2 linked regions of the Drosophila melanogaster genome follow. The protein of the gene in region 2 interacts with the protein of the main gene of each other region in a pairwise test. Each region holds a gene or a part of one and is shown on either strand. Other genes may lie near its edges. The genes, in order: CG31988 and CG2267.

The links.
Region 1: the proteins of CG2267 (region 2) and CG31988 interact in a two-hybrid assay, tested with the Drosophila melanogaster proteins (one large-scale study listed by BioGRID).

What each region holds. Positions count from the first base shown.
Region 1 is NT_033779.5:21,200,918-21,204,880, forward strand, and holds CG31988 (uncharacterized protein), read right to left. Parts: upstream 1,886-3,963; 5' UTR 1,517-1,885; intron 1,356-1,516; 5' UTR 1,336-1,355; coding exon 799-1,335; 3' UTR 576-798; downstream 1-575.
Region 2 is NT_033777.3:30,626,616-30,630,946, reverse strand, and holds CG2267 (uncharacterized protein), read left to right. Parts: upstream 1-1,918; 5' UTR 1,919-2,115; coding exon 2,116-2,226; intron 2,227-2,280; coding exon 2,281-3,342; 3' UTR 3,343-3,706; downstream 3,707-4,331.

The sequences.
Region 1 (3,963 bases), on a different chromosome or scaffold from region 2:
TTTTGAAAAATGTTTAGATTTTTCTTCGTTTTATTGTTTGTCTTGGCAATTTTTATATGTATACCAAAAGCACTGTGGACACGCCACTCCTTTCACCTTAAAAACTCCCAAAACAGTAACGCCCACATTTTTAAACAATTTTTACTCATTTTTTTCTATCGATATCCCAGAAAAATTATTAAATTTCGCTTTTGCATTCACACCAGCTGAGTAACCGTTATCTGATAGTCGGGGAACTCGTATGTAAAATTCTATCTTGTTCTTAATTTTTTTGTATTAATTCCATATTTATCTAGATTACACATCTGCGTAACCGATTCGTGACTACGCCAAGAGACGGCCACCACTTCATATCGAGAAGAATCGATAAGGCAGTTGTACTGCGATCTTAACGGAAAGATTTTTTAAAGCTCTTCAATTTTTGTTTTTAAAATTAAATAATTCATTATTTAAAGTGCTGCCAAAAGCTTGTTATTTAACGAAAGGCTGCAACATATTGGAAAGGGCTTGCTCGACCTTATCTCACAGTAATCAGAATGTTATTTTGGGTGACCAACACCACTAAGGCAAATCTTAGGGTATACCTGTCTACCCCAATACAGAGACTTAACATATTTGTTTTTTATTTTTATTTAGTGTTTGTGTGTGTATTAAGTTTGTGTGTTAAATGTGTAAGTCTGTTTTCTTGCATGCCTCTAGGCTTACTAAGCTTCGGGAACTATTTCAACATTATTGTAAGCAAGCAAATGAACAATTTGGAGGAAGAGCAAGGATGCACCATGGTTATCCGGGACGATGTTAGCAATTGCAGGCGGGGCACACGGGCTTGTCCCCGTCGATGGTGAAAGTCTGCGAGGTTATAGGATTCTCGCACTTGTTGCACCGGAAGCAATCGCGATGCCACTTCACGTTCATGGCGAGCACCGCTGAGTCCGTTATAGGCTTCTCGCACTTGGCGCACCTGGCAGCAAAGAGGTCCTCGTAATCCTTTTTGCAATAGGGCTTGCCGTCGCGCTCATAGAACGTTTGATTGGCGAGCGGCTTTTTGCAGGCACCGCCGCAGCAAAAGCAATCTTCGTGCCAGCTCTCCCCCATGGCGCAGATGGTTTTTTCAAGGATCGGCTTCTTGCAGCCGGCACAGGTGTAGGTGTACCGCTCCACGAAGCACTTGTTGCACACTGGTTCTCCGCTCTGAACATTGAAGGTGGCATCCAGGATCTGCTCATCGCAGTGGTGGCACAGGAAGTGCTCCGGGTGCCACGTCTTGCCCAGGGCGGTGATCATACGCTTGGTGATGGCCTCCTGGCACTTGTGACACACAATGCTCTCAGTCATTTTGGCTTCTCGATTGGTAACTGCAAAAAAAAAATGTGTTTGTTAATACGCATGTACAAAACAGGGTTGCTATTGATTATCGATTTATTGAAAGAAACAATGAAAGCTGGATAGGCAACGCAAATATCAATGAGAGAAATTATAATTCTGTACTAATTTCAAGATGGGATGTATTTCTTACTGGGTTTGGCGCCTGTTTCACTACTTCCTCTTTCTTTTCGCAATGTTTTTTTCTGAATTCGTTATCGTACTCTTCTCATATATCAAAACAATTTTCACAGGGCCACCGTTTTTACTTTACTTTCTTCTAGATGGTTCACACAAAATGGGAGAACAAAAAGAAGCAATACGGACTTGGACAAAATTTTGATACTGTTTTTTTTTTTTTTTGAAAAATTTTGATGTTTTTATTCAAATAACTATAGAAAACGAAACGAATGAAAACGTATGAATTTAGCAAGACTCAAAAACTGAATGAGATATTCGATGGAAACGCTGGGGGTATGTTTTGACATCTAGAAAATGTACAAGCATCGCCTACTGGACTGTAAAGTATTTGATTTTCCTTTCTAGGCTTTCTATGTTACTGTGACTACTGTTTAAATTTGTATCAAAAGGTTAATTGCCTAAATAGATGGCAATATGCTTGTGATTTCTTTAACATAATTTTATCTCCTTACCGAAAGTTATAAACATACTTTAGTCACTTATACATATTCGAGTATAAGAATTAGTCACACCAAAAACCATTAATAAATGGGTAAAAGGATAATAATAAGGGAGGTCTTCCACTTTCAAGGGTGATTTCTCCAAGCAAAGGGGCGGCATTTCCTTGAAGGCGCTGCTAGAATGTTTCCCAATTTATTATACAAAATTTAATTAAAGCAAAAATCCTGCGAAACTTCCGCATAGCCGGCAATTAACAAGGGCTGGGGTGGTGGCTACTCCTTTAAAGGACTCATCCACCCAAACGACTCGCCAGAAGGGTCGTCGTTGCCTCTTTCATCGTGGATCATGCACTTCGAAAAAATGAATTCGCTGAAAGAAATATTACTAAAACATCCAATTATTAAAAAAACAAGAGAAACAAGTTGTTTGGCAAGTCGAAATATGAAAATATTATATCGAAAGGTTTCTCAAAAATGTGGGCGTGGCAAAAAGTTTTTATGCAAATTGATAGAAAATAAAAATATAAAAAATGAAAAAATATCAACACGTTTTTCAAAAGTGTGGGAGTGACAGTTTTGTGCGGTATGTAGGCGTTAGAATGGGCGTGGCAACATGGGCCAAAAACTTGTCTCTTAAATCTGTGTGCTGAATCTCATCCTTCTATCATTTATAGTTCCTGAGATCTCGACGTTCATACGTACAGACGGACATGGCTACATCGACTCCACTATTGATTTTGATCAAGAATATATATACTTTGTAAGGTTGGAAACGCTTCCTTCTGCCTGTTACATACTTTTCAACGAGTCTAGTATACCCTTTTACTCTACGAGTAACTTGTGTAATAAAATTGAAAGTATTCTATACAGTCTTAGCTACTTTCGTGTTTCTGTATGAGTTTTTTTAAAAGTGTGAGCTGAGTAGGTCTGTATTAACTTATTCAAAATGATTTAGAGAATTATTGAATAATATATCGTGGAGTAATTACCCACAAACCCTGAACTATTGTATAACTTAAGTATAAGTTTTTTCGTGTGCCTGTGGAACATCTTTTGTTCCCTATTGAAGGCCACTCGGTGGAGCACAGCAATGTGTGCGGTCGCTACGCAACGGGGGTGGGGGTGTGGAGCTCCTGGTGGCGCTCGGGAGTCATCGGCGGAGGACATGTCACAATTTGGTTTGCGCTTTGATGCGGTGCATGGAATTTGAAATTGCAGCACCAGTCGGACGGGCGAGCTAGTTGTGTAAGTCGGATGGGAATTTGTGTCAGGCGTCTGTCTGCGTATGCCAAAGAGTGCTCGTATGCCATCCACATCCTCATCCAAATACAGATCCAAATTCCCAGCCCCGAATATAGGTTGAGCTGCTCGTAATTATTTATATTGAGTACTACTAAGAATTTCCCATGTTTAACCGATAATTGCATCCAGTTCGCGCACTTTCTAATTGCGCAGAGTGGCGCAACATTATATTTTGGCACGTTTGTGGGACAAGTTCAAAGAGTTGCTCCTTTGGGGCCACATAAATATGTCCTTCAAGCCAACTCGTAATTGCAAACGCTCTTGCATGACCCACAATAATTTATTTGGGTTTCTCAACTGCACTCGGGTGGTTTTATTCGTGTGAGTACATTTAATTAGTCGCAAGATTAGATTAGGCCAAAAGAGGAATGAGCCGAAAAAATCCACAAAAATGGCACCTAGTTCATAATGCCGTTAGTAGTCAGAAGATTTTGTGACTAGAATATGTTGCTTTTGTGGAGATAAACAATACGTGAGTTAATGGGTAATTTGGGCAACTCCGGTTATAGCTTTTAAATTAGCTGCATAATTTTGGCAGTTCCTTGGATTGTGTTAAAGCACAAATAATTTATGAAACGACACTTGTAATAAGGATCACTAGACGAATCGATCTGGACACCGCCGTCTTTATGACCGATTGAACGTTGAGATCTTGGGA
Region 2 (4,331 bases):
GAGACTCGACTTGAGTCACTCGCAGACATTTTCCTCCCCTCCAAGGAGTTTTCCTCCGCCAGTGTTTGTCTTTCTCGCTTTTTCTTGGCGCACTTTTAATTGCGCCCTGCATATGCATGAACCCAGTGGCAACTCAATTAAAGCCAAGCCTTTGAACTTCAGCCAGCGACTCTTGAACTTTCCTTCGAAATCAGCGAAAATCAATGCTCAACTAGCATCGATTGTTAGTAGACCGACCACAAAATGGGGATATAACGTAAAGAGTATGCTTGCAATCCGATATCACCCCTTTCCACTAGGGTTGTAAATCTAGCGGAAATTGTCAGGGCCAGCCAATCGTGCAACCGTTATTACCTGTTGACCTCCTTCCTTCGGACTCACTGCGTCCTGGCCACTTCGCTGAATTGCATTCCGCTTCCGTCTGGGTCACGGCTCATAATTCTTTAAATTTATGAAGTGTAACCGGATCGGAGTCTGGCTCTCTTTCAACAAAGTGCGGAATGGGATTTGGTCACAGGTTTCCAATGGGGTTAAGCTTTGCATAACAAACTTCAGTTTTGCACTGTAGGCAGTAACACTGATTTAGCGAATAAAAATTAGCATTGTTTCTACAAAAACAAAAAAAAAAGTAGTAGACGCAATATGGAATGGCATACCTCGCTGAAATCGTTACAAAATTTCCAATCGAATGGCATTCAAGCCTAGAAAAGTCAAAATTTTGCCATTTTTCCCAATTTTGATGATGGTACCCCTTAAAAAAAATGCGAAAAATTTGAAAAATATGAATTTTCCCATACCGACTAAAAATTGTTATGGCTAACAAGTTATGATAATTAGCTGCACAAAACAGTAGTTATTTTAGCTGTGCGACCAATTTAGAGCAAGCAAAGTCATTTTACATTGGTATTCCTCTCCCAGCCCAGCCCCCGAACCCCCTTCATCGAACCACCCACCCACCTTTCCTTTATTTCCAACCTCATCGCCATCTAGATCTCATCTTGTGTCACGTGACGACACTCACCTAATTTGAGAGCAGCTCTTAATCTGCACAATGAGATAAATACCTTTTGTGGTGCAGGCGGTTAGCCGCAGAGTGCCCCGCCTTAACCCACTTGTGCCCACGCCGTGTTCTCGTAATCCGTGGGCTGTTACCGTTACCGAGGCACTTGGCACGCTCCCGAATTGCCACTTGAGGCAAATTGCCTTGGAGCAAAACTTTCGAGACTTTGGCACGAACGGAACGACTCGGCGTTTATTACCTGTCGCTGGGAGCCAAGCGTTTACTTTCCTCCCCAAAAGGTCGCTTATCTGGAGCTGTTAATGTATTAATTTGAATTCTTTATGGGGAGCGGAGCTGCATATATTCCGGCCGGTCCGAAATATGTTTGACATGGCAAATTTAGTGGAAAATTGCCGCATGTCGCAAGTATGCAAGTGAAAATGCTACGTGACTCCGTTGCAAATAAAAAGTCAACCAGCCACTGGGGGAGACAAATTGGCCAGCTTCTGCAGCTTCGGTCTGAAATTTAAAAAACAAATCACACCTACAAGCGCCCAAGACAAATTTCCAGACGGTCCCACACACACGTATGTATGTACAGTGAGAGGACGAATGTCCTGCCGGTAATGGAGTGGACTTTATTTGGGCTCCTTGTTTGCCAGCTCCACGCTCGACTGCCCGTACCTTTTGTGGCACGCTCCGGCGACGAGCGGCGCATTTGTCAGACTCTTCGTCCGGATTGGGAGGCAAAAGTGCGGATGGGCAGTGCATGTGGTATGCACTCGGAGAAAACGGCACCAGCGGATTTAGAATTTTAAATCGAAGAATTTCATTTCAAGCTAGATATTTGTATGACAACAGAAACCTATCGATTCCCTGTGCGTGTAGAGTATTTTCCCCAGTGTAGTCTACCGACAGTGGTGTGTACGCTAGTACTCCTAGCAAACACACTCATTCTACAAATGTCAACCGTTGTTGGTTTAACTCACATGCCTTTCCAATTCCATTCCATTCCTTTAACCTACACATCACACAACAAATAAATTCCTGAACATAAAGATCATTTTTGATACCTGAAATTTCCACACGAAATTTCTACACGAAATTTTCTGAACATGGCCGGAGAAACAGAGCAGCTAACGTTGCTTAGTGAACTGAACAATATTGGAGGTGGCGAGTTCGAGTCGGGATACTGCCTGAATGAGAAACCTATTCTGCCGCCAGTGGTTGGTGATTATCTTTTGAGATAGCATATGAACTGTATTATATATCCCTAATAGATGACTGACTGGAAGAGACTGGAAATGATGCGACTGCGCTTGTGCGCCTTAACCAAGGAGGTGGTCCAGAAGAGGAACCAGATTACAAATCCTGAACGGAGGGATGCATCTACCAATACAAAATCGCAACAAGGATTTGGTTGTCCGGTCATAATGGGACGCTTCCGCCAGAGATTACAGCAATCGGAGACAATGATCTATGATCACACAGCCGAGATGACCATGCAGATTTCTGCTCCGCCTAGCATGCCAATTGGGATGACTTCTCAGCTGGTAATGGAGGATGCTTCTCTGACTCCGCCGCAAAGAGTTGTTGTCACGCTGACACCCGTGAAGTTGGCCACAGCAGAGAGTGTTTGGGTGACCAAGTTGGATCCACCGAAGGCGGAGAAACCCAAGCCAACGGAGAATGTCCTGGAACCACTTCATCGGAGCTCTACCAGTCCTGATCTTTCGAAGCTTCATCACCAACTGTGGCGAAGAGATCTGATGCAGATTCCCAAGTCACAGTTTACTTTGCCTATAAAATGTGAGCCACAAAGTGTACAAGGTATCGAGCAGCAGCAACCCAATAAGCTTACGACAATCAGGAGTCCCAGTCGAATCCCGAAACTGATTACCAGCCATGTGGCCAACAGTGCCAGTGTCACCAAAACCCAGAGTGCCTACCAGGCCCGACGCACCTATGACGCCAAAGTGGCTGCCAAGCGAAAAATTCTGGTGAGCAGGGGCCAGATTTCCTCAGTCAAACAGAAACCTCTGCCTGATACCAGCCACTTGAATGTGCCGAAAAGCATCAGGACTCCAGTGCCGGTCTATAAAAGACCAGGATATGTGCAGGACGAAGAGCAAATTCAAAAGAATCGCTTCAAGTCCTTGATTCTTCGCCAGGCGGAGGAAAACAGGCGTATCCAAGACAAAATGCAACAGGAGCACCAGGGTCTCATCGCTACCATGATGAACGATCTCAACAACGCCGTCGAGATCTCGAACGATTATAAGTCCTTGGAGAAGGCATTGCACCTGGACTCCAGCACCTCCAGCGATCCCAGCCAGAACTGATCAGACAATACAGAGATGCGCTTTCAAAATTGTTAAACGTTCACCCGGGAACGGAATAGGACGATAGCAGTGAATAAGAGGAACGGACGGCAAAACATAATACCCAATAATCCGCCACGAATTTTCCATTCGGTGGCCTCTTTAATTGGAATTGAAAATTCTTGATTGGAACATTTTGAATTGAAGCAGCAATCAAATCGACTTTTCAACTCGCGCAAGAACTGTATTTTCCCGTGGGGGTGCGACAAATCAGTTTGTATTGCAGTGTATATATTCAGAGGATTATCCAAAGTCCATAATGTTCTCCGCCTTTTCAATTTCAGCACTGTGTTGGAAAAAATTGTAATAATTATCTATTATCTGTATAGTTTCGTGTGTTATTTAATGGTCATCAAAGCGGCGTAATTTTATATAAGCTATTTAAATCGCATGTTCCAGTTTGGCATTGGCGAATTTTCCGAACGTGAGACGACAATCCGACTTGTGGCATAATCCGCGAGTCGGTCGGGCACCAAAAATATACAGCGTCTCTAATTGCGCCCAACGTCTGCGGTTGATGCCACACAAGTTGCACCGCAGTTTGTCCCACTCCCGGAGGTTTGGCCACCTGCCCGCGCTCGTCTCACATTGATGTCTCTATATGAAAGTCAGTCCCCCTGAGCCATTTCCCATTTTCCTGGCGAATTCGCTTGGCCCGTTTCACTTGGCGCGCCCATAACTCGGCGTGTTATTAAGTGTAAAAATTAAAATTTCATAAATTGTTATGCTTTATTTAGAGTGCGCCGAGCAGTTCCTCCGGCTCCCCAACTGCCAAGTTTCCTGTTCCACTGCAATGGCAATGTGTGTGGTTCTGTGTGATTTGCGCGCTTCGGAAGCTGGCGATATTGAGACTTAAGTGGACATAATTAAAAGCACTTAAGAGTCGCCACAGATACAGATCGCACCGACTGAGATATAGACGTGGTCCATGAGGATGAGTGAGGGCAGAA